4 linked regions of the Macaca fascicularis genome follow. The protein of the gene in region 3 interacts with the protein of the main gene of each other region in a pairwise test. Links are inferred from orthologs where the notes say so. Each region holds a gene or a part of one and is shown on either strand. Other genes may lie near its edges. The genes, in order: FAM76B, GLRX3, GRN and ARFGAP1.

Evidence for each region.
Region 1: the proteins of GRN (region 3) and FAM76B interact in binary tests that used the Homo sapiens proteins (3 or more experiments, as listed by UniProt). The link is inferred for Macaca fascicularis from reciprocal best matches to the Homo sapiens genes GRN and FAM76B.
Region 2: the proteins of GRN (region 3) and GLRX3 interact in binary tests that used the Homo sapiens proteins (3 or more experiments, as listed by UniProt). The link is inferred for Macaca fascicularis from reciprocal best matches to the Homo sapiens genes GRN and GLRX3.
Region 4: the proteins of GRN (region 3) and ARFGAP1 interact in binary tests that used the Homo sapiens proteins (3 or more experiments, as listed by UniProt). The two-hybrid records come from large-scale screens. The link is inferred for Macaca fascicularis from reciprocal best matches to the Homo sapiens genes GRN and ARFGAP1.

What each region holds. Positions count from the first base shown.
Region 1 is NC_088388.1:94,801,380-94,805,420, forward strand, and holds the start of FAM76B (protein FAM76B), read right to left. Parts: upstream 2,812-4,041; 5' UTR 2,506-2,811; coding exon 2,419-2,505; intron 2,015-2,418; exon of another isoform or gene 1,900-2,014; coding exon of another isoform or gene 1,891-1,899; intron 1,586-1,890; coding exon 1,521-1,585; intron 694-1,520; coding exon 639-693; intron 1-638. Other genes in the region: CEP57 (centrosomal protein of 57 kDa), read left to right, coding at 3,730-3,774. UniProt on the Homo sapiens protein: Negatively regulates the NF-kappa-B-mediated inflammatory pathway by preventing the translocation of HNRNPA2B1 from the nucleus to the cytoplasm.
Region 2 is NC_088383.1:139,103,846-139,107,899, forward strand, and holds the start of GLRX3 (glutaredoxin-3), read left to right. Parts: upstream 1-1,236; 5' UTR 1,237-1,258; coding exon 1,259-1,350; intron 1,351-4,054. UniProt on the Homo sapiens protein: Together with BOLA2, acts as a cytosolic iron-sulfur (Fe-S) cluster assembly factor that facilitates [2Fe-2S] cluster insertion into a subset of cytosolic proteins.
Region 3 is NC_088390.1:65,406,487-65,410,589, reverse strand, and holds the start of GRN (progranulin), read right to left. Parts: upstream 2,845-4,103; 5' UTR 2,812-2,844; exon of another isoform or gene 2,404-2,811; intron 1-2,403. UniProt on the Homo sapiens protein: Secreted protein that acts as a key regulator of lysosomal function and as a growth factor involved in inflammation, wound healing and cell proliferation. Regulates protein trafficking to lysosomes, and also the activity of lysosomal enzymes.
Region 4 is NC_088384.1:119,400,621-119,404,180, reverse strand, and holds part of ARFGAP1 (ADP-ribosylation factor GTPase-activating protein 1), read right to left. Parts: intron 3,115-3,560; coding exon 2,800-3,114; intron 2,402-2,799; coding exon 2,325-2,401; intron 1,142-2,324; coding exon 832-1,141; 3' UTR 1-831. UniProt on the Homo sapiens protein: GTPase-activating protein (GAP) for the ADP ribosylation factor 1 (ARF1). Involved in membrane trafficking and /or vesicle transport.

The sequences.
Region 1 (4,041 bases), on a different chromosome or scaffold from region 3:
AGAGGTCGTTCTGAAGTGGGCTAAAGTCTGATCACGCAAACTTCATGGATAAGCTCTCCATAACCAAGAATTTGCTATATTTGAATCTTTAAAGAATAGCTTCACAAATTTCACACTGATATTCAATACATGTAAAACAGGCATATAATTTGACTGTTTTTAAATGTTGTCACCTTTCCATCAAAATATCTATGGAAGATTTCTTTCATAAAATATGGTATGTTGAAATACATAAGAGCACAGCAGTACATCTTTTTTTTTTTTTTTTGAGACGGGGTCTTGCTCTGTTGCCCAGGCTGGAATGCAGTGGCAGGATCTCGGCTCATTGCAAACTCCGCCTCTCGAGTTCACGCCATTCTCCTGCCTCAACCTCTGGAGTAGCTGGGACTACAGGCGCCCACGACCATGCCCGGCTAATTTTTTTTTTTTTTTTTTTTTTCAGTAGAGACGGGGTTTCACTGTGTTAGCCAGGATGGTCTCGATCTCCTGACCTCGTGATCTGCCTGCCTTGGCCTCCCAAAGTGATAGATTACAGGCGTGAGCCACTGCGCCCGGCCAGCAGTATGTACTTTTTAAAAGGTCCAGCTTTGTGAAAAATATTAACTGGTAACAATGACATGAAAACATGACATACTTACCGTCCCAAATTGCTTCACATTTTGAGCACACTTCTTACAAATTGTGTTAGTTTTGCTGAAAAAGAAATTGTATATAGATCATGTTTATGTAGCATTCTAAAGCAATTAGCACAATGTCAAAATAAAATGAGTCAAAGATTTGTAGTACTTAAAACTTACTCTAATATGGACCACGGATTTTTCTCAAAAACACAAGGATCTTTTCAGAGTTGTTTTACCCAAATTAACTTAAGACAAATATTTTTATACATTTTTATTGTGTATTTCTTTTTGTACACAAAACATCACAATGTTTCCTATATAGCTCCAAAATCTTCACACTTGCCACTATTAATGCACAGCATTACAATACCACTGCCTACCTAACCCTCCACTTGGCTATTGTCCAACATTATAATGCCCACACCTATTTAAGAAGAAATTATTTGTTCTTTTCTGAGGCTACTTTCTGTATATACTCTCAGAGCGGAAGTAACTGTTAAAAATGTTACGTACTACTCCTCTTCCATGTAACAAATTACTACATTTCACCCTTGGACGGCAGTTGGTAACACTACAGACTTTTCCTCAGGTCCATTAAGGCTTTACCTTTTTTTTTTAGCGTAACAGTAACTGTTTACATTTGCATTTTCATTAGCAAGGCTGTACATTTTCCACATAGTAATTTATTCTGTCTCATATAAAGTGTAACGGTAAATTAACAACCCCTGGTTTTTCTGGCAACATTCTCTCCCACCATGTATAAAAGGTTTACAACTTAAAATTTCTGGGGCTAAACCATTTTTTAAAAATACTTTCACAAAAATATGGGATTACAACCCCCAAATATTCCATACAGACAACACTTGTCTTTAACAGTCAAAAACTGTTCAGTATACAAACCTCTCTTGTTGAAATTCTGATCTGCAGTAAGTACATTTTACAATAGGATGTGCAATCCGACATTCCTGTAATAAGACAATACATTAGTCGGTATCTATCTGAAAGTCCCAAATGTCACTTTTCTGGTAGAAAATTGTTTACCCAACCTAGTTAAATGTCTAAAATATTGATAAAACCTGGCCCCAACGTAAGGAACTGGATGCTTTATCATATAAGTGGCCAATCACAATATAATTCCTCAGGGAAGGCATAGGTGTCTTTGTCTTTAGTAGACGTGGGATATATTACAGACAAATTAAGAAAGCTGTCAGGGCCGATTTCAAGGATTGGTTAAATGTGAAACTACTTATTATTTTGCACCGTTGCTCACAGACAGCATCCTGGCTTTAATGGGATGGGAGGAGCTCCAAATCAGAGCATTCTGTTCCCAAACCAGTCGCTTCGCTTTCCTGGACAGGGAAGAAGGATGCCATCAGCTTTGCGGCTTCGGGTTCCTAGCAAGAAAGTGCAAAAATCGTCCCCTGCCTCCTGGTGGAAGAAGAGGACAGACTAGGCAGAAAACCGAGATGAAAACATCTCCACCCCTGGGTCTCTGCGGTATAGACAGGTGGCTGCCTCACTCAACCCCACCTCTGAGACCCCTCAGACGCTGACGGGGTTCGGCACCCGCCCGGGCCGCCTGGAAGAGGGCACGATTCTGCCTCCCTCTCAGGGGCCGTTCCCAGCTGATGTTCAAGCCCCCAGAAAAAGGGGTCCCCGAGTGGGGAGGCGGGGACACCAGACTCCCAAACCCCCGAGGCGCCGGCAAAGAGAGAGGGGCTGCAGTGCAGCGGCTACCCGGCCCCCTCCGGCTACGACCGAGGACATCCATCCCGCCCTCCTCCCGGAGGCCACGGACCTTGCAGAGCTGCTGGCCCTGGGAGAGCTCCTCGAAGGGATAGCGTTGGGTACACTTGGTGCAGGCGTATAGGGCCGAGGCCGCCATCCTGCTCCTCAGTCTCCTCCTCCGCCGCCGCCCGCTCCGAGGCGGGGCCCTACGGAGAACTCGAGACCCGCCGCCGCCGCCCGGGCCGCGGGCTCCTCCTCCTCCCCCTCCCCCTGCCTCGCGCCCACCAGGGCCTCGCCGCCAGAGCCCAGGGCCCCGCGGACGACGCCACCGTCTCCCTCCGCCTCCACTTCCGCCCCAGCCCACCCAGTGACGCCGTGCCAGCCGCTCCCGCTTAGGCCCCGATAGCGGCGGAGGGAGACGAAGCGGGTAGGGGTTGCTGTTTAGCTGCGCGACCGCGGATCCGCTTCCTTCTCGGCCTCCCTTCCCCATCCCTGATTGGCTGCGGAGGCCACGCGTCACTCGGTGGCTCCTCCCAACTTCCAACTTCCGCGACGCCTGGAGCGCCCACAAAGGGAGGATGTCGCCGGCCAATGAGAGCCCGGAGCTCTCAGCGCGCGAAATCCGCTTTGAACCTGCCCCGCCCAAAGGTCTGCGGTCGCGGCTATTTCTAACAGCCAGTCCCAGGTTTGGGTGAGAGCGCCCCAATCCAATTGGGCAAATGTTGGCGAAAGGCTCGTTCTCTGCCGCAACTTTTTTATCCTTGCTTTCTATTGGACTAAGTCGTTAAGTCCCTCCTAATCCTATTTGTTATTGGCCAAAAGGTAAGTACTTCACCTGGAGAGGCGTCCCCGAGGCAAACTCACGCTCTCTCCTGCGTTTAATCCGAGGGAACTCGTGGAGTGCTTTAACTTCGCCTTCGCTTTTGTTTTATCTCCATTACTCCGTTCGGTTGCCACTGGCGACAACACTACTCGCCCACGCTTCTTACTGGAGGAGACCCGCCCCACCGTAGAATCCCCGCAGAGCCGGCCAGTAGCCCGCGGCGTTGTCGGCCCCCAGCAGGCCCAGTTACGCGCTACCTTGTGACGTCACCAGGGAAGAGGCGGATTCTCTCCTGCTACTAAAAGACGTCTGCTGTTTTGATTGGCTAGGGAAGACGTCCGTTAGGACGTGTTGCCTTTTCTGTGTACGGTGTGAGCGTAGGCGGCTCTGAGGGGGTGTGTGGCAGGGGTTTCCAAGCCGAGCACCAGCACCGTTGCCCTTTTCCATCAGGGGTTCAGCCCAGGGTCGCCCCTGGTGGGCGGCTCCCGAGTCTTGGAGAAGAGCACGAGAACCCAGACCGCCCCCAAGGTGCGGAGACCCCCCTGGGCAGGCTGAAAGATGGCGGCGGCGTCTGTCTCTGCGGCTTCTGGTTCCCAGTTGTCGGTAAGCAGCAGTTGGCGCGAGTGGTCCCCACATCGGTCCCAAGCGCCTCTTTGAGTTTCCTCACTTTCAGGGCTCTGTCAGTCCAGCTTCTGAGTCAATTCCGGAGGACGGCGGGAGTGCCTAGATTGCCCCGCGCTCCCCAAGCTTCCATTCACTGTTCCTCTGTCGAGACTGCACCCTCTGGCTTCCAGTGAAACTGGAACGGAGACTGGCCGTCTCTGTTCCCCATCCTTCATTCACCTTTCGGCGTAGCAACCCCGGTTGCCT
Region 2 (4,054 bases), on a different chromosome or scaffold from region 3:
GGGGGAGTGGAGATTACTCAGGCCAGAAAGTGTGTGGGAAGCATGGGGATACAGAGTACGCCACATGGAGAGCCCAAATCAGGGGGATTCCCAAGGGAGAAAGACAAGCCAGGGACCACTTGAGGAGGCCAGGGAGGAGGAATGCAGGGATCTTGGACCCATGCCCCCAACCCAGTGGACCCACCCAGCAGAATCCATTGTTCTGAGGTTACAATGGGTGATGGCTTGGTGGGGCTGCAATGAGTGGTGGCAGGTGCGGAGGCCAGGAGAGGAGGGACATGCTGTGGGCTCCAGGTTCAGGTCTGAATTCAGGACTGAGTTGGAAGCACCGGGTCTGTGTTGAAGTTCAAGATCTACCACTTCTGTTCCCAAAACCTCCCAGTTCTTCCTCACCTTTATGCAATTTCATTTTTGATAATTTCAGCTTCCTAAATGTACATATCTGATTTCACTTGCACTCACGTCTCACCCCCACTCCTCCACCGGCCCCTTCTCACTATTGCAGACCCAGGAGACACAGGAAGTGCAAGGAAGGTCTGGAGCCCCAAAAGCCAGGAGCCTAAGGAGTCAAGTGCCCTGACAGCCAGGAACCCTGACAGCCAGGAGCCCCGACACCCAGGAACCCCAACAGCCAGAAGCCTCTACCACCAGGAGTACTGACAGCAAGGAACCCTGACACCCAGGAGCCCCTACTATAGCCAGAAAGCCAGGAACTCTAACACCCAGGAGCCCCTACAGCCAGGAACCCCGACATCCAGGGGTCCCGACAGCCAGAAGCCACTATAGCCAGGAGCGCCTACAGCCAGGAGCCCCTACAGCCAGGAACCCCGACATCCAGGGGTCCCGACAGCCAGGAGCCATTACAGCCAGGAACCCCTACAGCCAGGGGCCTGGACGGCCAGAAGCCACTATAGCCAGAAGCCCTTATAGGGCCAGGAGCGCCTACAGCCAGGAGCCACTACAGCCAGGGAGCCCCGACAGCCCTGACAGCCAGGAACCATGACAGCCATGAACTCCGGAAGCCAGGAGGTCCGCAGCGGAGTGCCCAGACCTGGCAGGGTCAGAGCCCCTCAGCGGGATCCAGAGCCACCCAGCGGGATTCAGCGCCCGCGGCCGAGGCCCTTTCTGGGATTTCTCAGGCTCTGTAGCGTCAGCGCAGGCAGGGGCGGGGCTTTCCCTCGCGCAGCCGCTAAGCTCTCCGCGGGCCCGCCTACATCCGGCCGCCGGCACGCGATTGCTTCTGTCTGGCGGCGGCAGCATGGCGGCGGGGGCGGCTGAGGCAGCTGTAGCGGCGCTGGAGGAGGTCGGCTCAGCCGGGCAGTTTGAGGAGCTGCTGCGCCTCAAAGCCAAGTAAGCGAGGCGGCGAGTGGCAGGAGTGAGGAGCCGGCGGGAGAGGCCGCGAGACCGGGCCGGGAGTGGCCGCGAGACCGGGCCGGTGTGGGGCGGCGGGTGGCCCAGCCCGGCTCCTTGGCGCCCGGCTCGCTTCGGCCTCGGGGGACCGGGCCCGGCCCAACCCGGGATTCCCCCGAGCCTCCGGCGCTGACTGGCCCGAACCGCGGGCTCCCCGCCCCGGAACAGCGAGCAGGGCTCGAGGCTTTTCTCGCAGCCCCGGCCCCGGCCCTCGCTCCGACCCCGACGGCTGTCCAAGCCCGGGGGACGCGACCTTCCCGTCCTCTGGCCTGGGCGGCCCCGCAGCGGGACGGAGGCGGTGACTCAGCCTTGCCGCAGCGGCGGGGCGGGGGACGGGGCGGTGCCGAGACCCCGGCCCACCGCGCCACGGAGCGGGGACCCATGGCTGCGGGCTCCACCTTTCCTGTGCCCGCCGGGAGGGAGCTGCAGACCCGTCGTCGGCCCATTCCTCTTCAGCCTCCCTTCAGGAACGCCCCTGTCGCAGGAAGAGCGGCTGGGGAAGGCCCCGCTGCATTAGCTAGGCCTGGCTGCCTTTTGAAGTCAGCCTTTAAAGTTTGTTGGTCAGCAGGTAGCCTCAGTCTTCAGACCGAACCTGTTGCCGGAGACAGAGGTTTCCTGTTCCATGAACTGGTGTAGTGAGAGTCTGTTCAGATTTGGCGCCGGTGTCAAGTCTTCCATCCCGGGAAGACAAAAGGAGATCCATAGGAATGCATAGAAAACGGTTTCTGGGTGGACTAGAAGCTCTGAACTGCAAGCATGCTTACGAGTAAATGCTTACTGGCGTGCGTGTTTGCGGGGAAAGGTCTGCGCGTGGACTCCCCGTGGTAATACCTCACATTGTAGACTACTCCAAGGACTGAGTTGTTCTCTTAGTTGTATTAATAGCGGTTGCTACGGGAGCTCTTCTGTCGGATTGCCTGGGATCCAGTCCCACCGCAGCCACTCACTAGCCGTGTAACCCCTGGGCACATTTCATACCCAAGCCTCAGTTTCCCAACGATGAAATAGATCAGCACCTATTAGTACCTCAGGGTTGTTGTGAGGGTTAAATGAGATGACGTATGTAAAATACAATTAATACAATGCCTAGTATGCAGGAAACACTCAGTAGATGTTGGCCCTTCGGTAGGAAGCAGAGTGGTTCATGGAATTCACAGGCAAAATATACTTTGTTTTGTTTTGTTTTTGAGACAGGGTCTGGCTCAGTCACCTAGGCTGCAGTGTAGGGGAGTGATCACGGCTCCCTGCAGCCTCAGCCTCCCAGGCTCAAGTGATCCACCCACCTCATCCTCGCATCTTAGCCTCTCGAGTAGCTGGGACCACAGGTGCTCACCACCACGCCCGGCTAATTTTTATATTTTTTTTGTAGAGACGAGGTCTCTCCGCGTTGCCCAGCCTTGTCTCGACCTTCTGGACTCAAGCGATCTATCCTCCTCAGCCTACTAAAGGGTTGGGATTACAGGTGTGAGCTACCACATCTGGCCAAAAATGCTTATTGATCCAGATTTTGTTTTGTTTTGTTTTCAAAACAGGCTGTTGCTCTGTTGCCCAGGCTGAGTGCAGTGGCGTGATCTCGGCTCACTGCAGCCTCTACCTCCTGGGTTCAGGCGATCCTCCCACCACAGCCTCCTGAGTAGCTGGGACTACACGTGCGGTCCACCACGCTGGGCTAATTTGTGTATTTTTCGTAGAGACAGGGTTTCTTTTTTTTTTTTTTTTGAGACGGAGTCTTGCTCTGTCACCCAGGCTGGAGTGCAGTGGCCGGATCTCAGTTCACTGCAAGCTCCGCCTCCCGGGTTTACGCCATTCTCCTGCCTCAGCCTCCCGAGTAGCTGGGACTACAGGCGCCCGCCACCTAGCCCGGCTAAGTTTTTTTTTTTTTTGTATTTTTAGTAGAGACGGGGTTTCACTGTGTTAGCCAGGATGGTCTCGATCTCCCGACCTCGTGATCCGCCCGTCTCGGCCTCCCAAAGTGCTGGGATTACAGGCTTGAGCCACCGCGCCCGGCGAGACAGGGTTTCTTCATGTTGCCCAGGCTGGTCTCTGGAACTCCTGAGCTCAAGTGATTCACCTGCCTCGGCCTTGTAAAGTATTGGGATTACAGGCTTGAGCCACCGTGACCAGCACTGTTGATCTAAATGGAGTGAAATTTTGCTGACTGAATTTGAATTAGAGGCAAGTAGTATACTCTGATTTTGCAATGGAGAGTGCAGGTGAGATGGGGTGTTGCCTTTGGAAAGGGGGAGGGGTGAGAGTTACTGACTAATGGTTAGAAATGCTTTATGGGGGTGATGAAATAACACAGCTCTTTAGGCATTTCAGGTTTACCTGGGAAATTGTTAAGGAAAAAAAGCAGGGATTGTCGGGGGGACATGTGACATTTACTCACTGATGGAAGCTGGGCTCTGACTCATCCAGTACAGATCAGCACAATCACGGGAGTCACCAGAAGTGACCTCTTGAAATGAGCAGGTGGTCTTGTGTGGACCTGCCCTAAGTAAACGTTTTGAATTTACCATCACCTGAAAAGACTGTTTTGTCTATGTGTTTTATATGTTTGTTTTAAATGCTTCATGTTTTAAAAAGTCCTTAAACTATCAAAATGGATAAAAGTTTTTTTTTTTTTTTTTTTTTTTTTTTGAGA
Region 3 (4,103 bases):
GGATTACAGGCTTGAGTCACCACACCTGGCCTCACCTTTACTTTTTTGTTTGTTTGTTTGAGACGGACTCTCCCTGTCTCCCAGGCTGGAGTGCAGTGGTGCTATCTCAGCTCACTGCAAGCTCCACCTCCTGGGTTCACGCCATTCTCCTGCCTCAGCCTCCTGAGTAGCTGGGACTACAGGCGCCTGCCAGCACGCTCGGCTAATTTTTTGTATTTTAGTAGAGACGGGGTTTCACTGTGTTAGCCAGGATGGTCTCGATCTCCTGACCTCGTGATCCACCCACCTCGGCCTCCCAGAGTGCTGGGATTACAGGCGTGAGCCACCACGCCCAGCCACTTTTACTTTCAAAGGAAGAAACTGAAGCTCAGAGATGTTAAGTACAGTCAGCCCTCCGTATCCAACCAGAGATCAAAAAATATTGGGTGTGGTGGCTCACACCTCTAATCCCAGCACTTTGGGAGGCCTAAGTGGGCGGATCACGAGGTCAGGAGTTCGAGACCAGCCTGACCAACATGGTGAAACCCCCATCTCTACTAAAAATACAAAAATTAGCCATGCGTGGTAGTGCACACCTGTAATCCCAGCTACTCAAGAGGCTGAGGCAGGAAAACGCTTGAGCCCAGGAGGTGGGGGTTGCAGTGAGTGGAGGAGATCGTGCCACCATACTCCAGCCTGGGTGATAGAGCGAGACTGAGATTCCGTCTCACAAAACAAAACAAAAACCCCAGAAAATGTTACATTGTTGCTGAGGTATACTATGTAGTTAGGCTTAGGATGGGTGCATCTATACTGAACATGTACAGATTGTTCTTTCTTATTATTCCCTAAACAATTCAGGATCACAACTATTTACATGGCATTTCTTTTTCTTTTCTTTTTTTAAATTTATTTATTATTATTATACTTTAAGTTGTAGGGTACATGTGCATAACGTGCAGGTTTGTTATATATGTATACTTGTGCCATGTTGGTGTGCTGCACTCTTTTTCTTTTCTTTTCTTTTCTTTTTTTTTTTGAGACGGAGTCTTGCTCTGACGCCCAGGCTGTAGTACAGTGGCGCAATCTCAGCTCACTGCAACCTCTGCCTCCCGGGTTCAAGCAATTCTCCTGCCTCAGCTTCCTGAGCAGCCTCCTGAGTCTGCTACCACACCTGGCTAATTTTTGTATTTTTAGTAGAGATAGGGGTTTCACCATGTTGGCCAGGCTGCCAGTCTCGAACTCCTGACCTCAGGTGATCCACCCACCACAGTCTCCCAAAGTGTGGGGATTACAGGCATGAGCCACCGTGCCCAGCCAACATGGCATTTCCATTGTATTAGGCATAAGTAATCTAGAAATGATTTAAAGTATGTATAGGTTATATGCAAATATCACACCATTTTGTATCAAGGACTTGAGCACCCAGACTTTGGGGTCCTGGAACCAGTTCCATGAAGATACCAAGGGACACCGATAACATGTCACACATCAGGTCATGGTGACGACAGGCTTTGATGGCCCCAGAGCGTATTGGACCTGGGTTAATATCACTAGTGGCACAATGGGCAGTGCCTGAGAATGGACCCCTACGCCCCAGGGGGATAGGTGCAACAGGTACCACAGAAACAGGGACTGCCTGGAAATCGCACTTGAGTCCTAATCCTGGAATTGCCAACTGTGAGGGCCTGAGAAGTTGCTCCCTGTCTGTGCCTCAGTTCCCCCACGAGTCTTGTGTGGATATCATTGGAGGGGGGAAGGGCAGGAAATGTCACCCACCCAGTCACTCACATCCTCTCTGCTCCAATTGGCTTTCCTCAAGTGCCCCTCCCCTAACTCAGCATCCCGAAGAGGCCACCTCCTGGACAGATAAGGATGCAGTTGACTGGTCCTGGACAGTGGACCCTCTCCTCAGCCCCACAGCTCCCAGGCAAAGCACCTGCAGCTGGCACCGCCTACTTCCTGCGTGTTCTCAGCAGGCTGTCCGCTGCCCTGGCTTGCTGGGAAGGGGAGTCTGTCTGCACAGGAGTGTTCAGCTCTCTGGTGAGTTACCTGTGCATGGCCCCTCCTGTTTACCCTGAGTTGAGGGAGTATAGTGTATGCTTCTACTGAATACATGCACACACATACAGAAACAGGGATGAGGAGGCGAGTCGCAGTCTCTCACGCCACCCTACACCGCCAAAACAGCCAGAGGGGACAGCAGCCTCTTCAAGACCCTAGCTCCGTTATCTTCCACTAGGTGGCAGCCCCCAACTCCGAGTGCCAAGGGGAGAGGAAATTCCCAAAAGGGGAGCCAGCCTAGCTGCAACTGAGCAGGAAAAAGTGGCTGGGAGAGGCGGAAGTTAGCTCGTCCCACCCCCAAAAAGAGGAAGTAAGGAGGAGCCAGACCAGGTTCAGTCACCACTCCCAAGTCCCTACTACCTTCGAGAAGCCAAGGTTTCAGGTCCCGTTCCCAGGCCCTCGGAGCTCCCAGCCCAGGGTCGCGCGCCCCTCCGGCTTCAGGCCGCCGCGGGAACCACCCACCACCACCACGAGAGGGAAAGAAGCCGGCACCTACCGACAGGGGTGGAGCTGAGTCAAGAATGGTGTGGTCCCTGCTTTGGGGGAATGCTGGGGAGGTAGAAAGCCCCCTTCTAACAGAGGTCACTGCAGTTACTGCTTCCTCTTTCCCATAAAACTCCCTCTAGTGTATCAGAACCCCCAAGGAGTTTCAATAAGCGGTTCTTGTCTTGTCTCCGGCTGAGACTCCCGGGGAACCTCAAGCTCACATGGCCCTAGCCGGGCCCCTGGGCAGGAGCAGGCCAGAGGTCTGCGCGGCCGCCCTCCTACCTGCGTCCGGGTCCGCGGTCCCTGGGCAGCAGCAACCGGGCAGCGCTCAGACTACAGATCCCAGCGCGGTGACCCGCCTACCTCAGTTTCCATTGGCCAGGGATCAGGGCTGCCGCACTCCCATTGGCTACTTATCAATGTGGAGGTGGGGCCAGCCTGGAATGCTGTGTTTCTTTTCTACTCAAATCACTCTCCTCCCCGCTTCCTCTCGCCCTACACCCCATTTCTAGGGATCATGTGATTGGAAAATCATGTGACGCCGGGCCAGCCTCAGCAGGGCAGCTGGTGCTCGTCGCCTTCCTTCACCCATCCTGCAGGTGCCTGGGGGAGTTTGCTAGAGATGATAGCGCGTGTCTGGGGCATTGACAGTGCGAGGGACTGTTATGAATTGGGAATATTTGTGCTCCTCTTTCTATTCTTTTGTTTGTTTGTTTGTTTTGAGATGGAGTCTCACTCTGTCGCCAAGCTGGAGTGCAGTGGCACGATCTCGGCTCACTGCAACCTCTGCCTCCCGGGTTCAAGCGATTCTCCTGCCTCAGTCTCCCGAATAGTTGGGACTACAGGCGCGCGCCACCAAGTCCAGCTAATTTTTGTATTTTTAGTAGAGACGGGGTTTCACCATGTTGGCCAGGATGGTCTTGATCTCTTGACCTCGTGATCCGCCCGCCTCGGCCTCCCAAAGCGCTGGGATTACAGGCCTAAGCCACCGCACCCGACCTTGTGTGTTTGTTTTAGAGAAAGGGTCTCGCTCGGTCGCCCAAGCTGATCATAGCTCACTGCGGCCTGCAACTCCTGCTCCCAAAGCGATTCTCCTACCGCAGGCCCCCGAGGAACTGGGATTACAGGTGTGAGCTACCGGGCTCACTCGCTCCTATCCTATCCTATCCTGCCCTGTCCTGTCCTGCTCTATTCTGCAAACTCGGATGACATGCTAGGCAGGGCCCAGAGTGAGTTGAAGGATGGTTTCCAGGACAAAGATAAACAGCCCAAAAGCCCTTTCCTCCAGGTGCTCAGCAGGACAGGGGGCAGGGATTGGTGGGAGACAGTCTCAGGCTGAATCTAATTTAATATACAAGGTCGTGCGCCAGTTGCCAGGTGTGGGAGAGGAAGTAGATTGTCTACAGGTGGGGAAGAAGATATTTCATTCCACCTTAGAAGCATCTCCTTGAGCTGAGTTTGGGAAGATTTTAACTGGCAGGTGGAGGAGGTGGTGTTGGGAAGAGCCTTGGGAAACCAGATGGGAAGGGCAGGCTTGGCAGGGATTGAATGCTATGTTCAATGCCAGTGGGCTT
Region 4 (3,560 bases), on a different chromosome or scaffold from region 3:
CACCAGTCTGTAGGGCAGCCCCAGGCACCGCGCACAGGCATCCCTGCTCAGCTCCTGAGCCCGGGGCTCTCCTGCCAGGCCACACCGCTGTCGTGCCCTCCTGCCTCAGGGCCGAGGGCCCACCCTGCGCTCCTTTTTCTTCCAGGGTGTTCCAGGATGGTCAAGTCCCAGCACTGAGAACAGCTCAGGTGTGGGTGTGGCTATTGTGGGGGCTGTGTCTGGTGAACTTGGTGGTTAGACAGTGCGGATGCAGGGAAGCCACGGAGGGTCACGACCGACACAGGTTTGACCGCACAGGCCCAGGCAGGCGTGGACGTGGGAGCCGAGGGTGGTCGGACGGCAGTGTGAGCGCCAGTATCGCTTTTAGCGTTTCCATCTTTACCACTCCCGTCACTCTCTTCAAAAAGAAAGAACTAGAGCAAACCCAAAGTTAAGTATCTCAAGGAGAAGGGACACCTCACGTCGCTGACAGCTCGGCACGGGGCTGGTCCCAGCCCCGAGATACTGCGTAGTGAACAGTCACAGGGCTCTGTGCTGCAGCCCACCTCCCAGCAAACCACGAAGAGCCCCTGCCTTGAGTCCAAGAATGCCCAGGGGAGTGTAGGACGGGATGGCCCCCGCCCAGGCTGGAGAGCAGGCCGCTCCCACGCACCGAGAACCCCTCGTGGCAGGCGGTGAGAACCTGAGTCTCCCTGGGGTCCTGCCTCCCGAGACGCTGTCCTCACACTGCAGTCACTGATTCTTGGGTCAAATGAAAGGAGGAGGAACGATGAGGGCAGAGTGCAAACATGAAGTCGCCTGGGGGCGCTGGGGACAGGGGCGCGGTGGGCCCTACCAGTTCTGGTTGTCCCAGCCATCGTCGGCGGGCACGGCCAGTGGCACTGCCTTCTTGGCACCCTCCCCGCCCTCCCCACCGTCGCTGTTGCTGTTCCTGTTGGTGGAGGCCGAGCCCCACACCTCCCAGCTGTCCGAGCTCCTCCTCTCGGTGGAGGTGTCCGCGCACGTCCAGCTGTCGCTGCTTGGGGACTTGCGGGCCTTGGTGGGCTCAGCACTTCCAAAGGTCTCCCAGAAACTCTGGTCTATGGTGCTGTTTTGGAAGTGGTCCGGACCGCTGTTCTGGTAACTGTGGCCCTCCGAGGGGCTTTTAAAGAGACAGAAGGGGGATTCTGAATGACTGTTACTTAGCCCACCACTGGGAATTCTGTGCCCCCGAAAGCTCTGCACCTGGACAGTGACCACCTTCCCAGGCCAGCGCTCGGGGTCCACAGCAGCCCCACCAGGCGGGAGCTGTTTCTCCCACTTCATAGCAGTGGAAACTGCTGGGGAGCTGGAGAACCAAGGCCCACTCTATCAATCACCCAAACTGCAGGATAGTTCTACTAAAAACTTCTTTTTCTACCAGCTCCAAACTGCTGCGATAAAACAGTGGTTTAGTCAAGTGGGGAGGGGCAGGGGCACCGCCCTCAAGCTGGGACACAGGCTCTTCTGAGCAATACCCTCAGCTATGCCAGCCTGAACCAGGCCCTGCCCTGTCCTCCGCTACGCCGGCCCCGAACCAGGCCCTGCCCTCTGTCCTCAGCTACGCCGGCCCCGAACCAGGCCCTGCCCTCTGTCCTCCGCTACGCCGGCCCCGAACCAGGCCCTGCCCTCTGTCCTCCGCTACGCCGGCCCCGAACCAGGCCCTGCCCTCTGTCCTCCGCTACGCCGGCCCCGAACCAGGCCCTGCCCTCTGTCCTCAGCTGCAATCACATCACTGAAAAACCACACACACAGAGGGAAGAGAAGGGCGTCTCAGGGAAAATTTGGGCCCACCTAGGGGGCAGCGCATCTGTGCCCACCAGCATTGGCCTCTCAGTAGACAGCACAAGGCCAGGCCCTACGAGATCCCCTGTGGTTCCCCTGCTGGAGTCAGAGGCCGAGAAAAGCAGCCAGCTTCCAGCAGAAATGCCTGGGGTGCCCAGCGCTAAGGGCAGAGCTGGACATGGGGGCCAGGACAGGTCTCTGGGGCCCCCAGCCCTCCTGTCCCCGGCCCCCCACCTGCTCCACCCACCCAGAGTCTGGAAGACAGAGGAACAGCAGAGTAGGGCCAGCTCCTCCTACGTGGGGGCGTGTGGGTGAGACCCTCCCTCCCACCCTAGCCTGGGGAGCCCAGTCAGGGCAGAGAGGGAGGACAGGCCTCTGCAGCTGCAGAGCACTCAGAGAGCCTTCCACAGCGCCCCCCTCCCCTCCCCAGCAACGATGCCGACCACCTCCCCGACAGCCTATGGGAGGAGTGGCCGAGGCAGGGGAGCGGGACGCAAGGCCCAGGAGGGGACACAGCGTACCTGTCCAAGGGGCCCTCTGCTTTCCCCGAAAAAAAGGTGGTGACGTCCCGCCATCCCTTACTACCGACTCCCTGGACCTGGAAGGCGATGGGAAGAGAGGTTAGGAAGGCCCTGTCGCGGCACAGGCAGCTTTTGGAGGCCCCCACACGCAAGCTGGCACACGCCATCCCGCTGAAAAGACCCGGGTAAAATCCAGAAACATCCAGAAACAAGGAGTGCCGCGCACACGCGTACAGACACAGACACGCACAGCCACGCCGCAGTGGCACCAGGTGCATGCGGGACACGGCAGTGAGGACAGCCTCGGGCACAGACCTCGAGAGCTCCCACCACGTGCTCGGGGGAGAGGACCGAGACCTGCTCTTCCCTCCCCGTCTGCAGAGCACCTCATGCCAGGAAACAGGACAAAATGCACGCCCCGAATGGCCCGCAGAGCAGTGAGACCAATGGCAGCTAAGACGGCGCTGGCACTTACCGAGGAAAAGGCCAGTGGCAGCAAGGTAAGAGCAGGAGAAGTGGCAGTTAGTGGCTGACCGGGCCGCAGTGGGCCAAGCTGTTTCCATATGCCTCGGGCCATCAGGCCGGGCAGCCCTCCTCCCATCTCAAGAGGACAGCAGCCACTGCCAAGGCAGGCTGGGGGCTGCACGGGGCACACCCTGCTCTCACGCCCAGGGCCGTGGAATATGGAGACTGGCTTTGACTGTGCCCGCACATGCGGCAGGCTCCCTACCTTGGACGCCAACTGAGAGACCCCACTGGATACATCATCAAAAATCTTTCCCTCCTTCACCTGCACGGATTAAGACGGCAGCATTAATGGGGGCGGCAGAGATTAAAGCTTAAAGCTTCAGGAGTGCAGGAATCCCCAGCGTGAGGGCATCCAAAGTAACAGGGGCCTGGGGACACCCGTCAGGCTGAGCCCCAGAAAGTCCTACAGGGGCCCCAAACGGATTCCAGCATCAAGAGCCCACGTCATTGCGAGGCCTGGTGTCTGCAGACGTGGCCCCGCCAGCCGCTGCTGACAAATAGCAACATGACCTGAGGACGCCCACGCTGCCCCGGGGGTGCCTGCCCTGCTTGTCCCAGTCAAGCCCCGAAGGAGGCAGGGAGCTGGCGGGGCTCTCGACCCCCGAGGATAGTGGGCATCATTCCCGTACCAGAGCCTCCTCTGGGCACAGCTCCAAGGCCCGCTGTGGGGGTGAGGCAGAGGATGGAGGTGGGCTGGGGGTGCTGGGC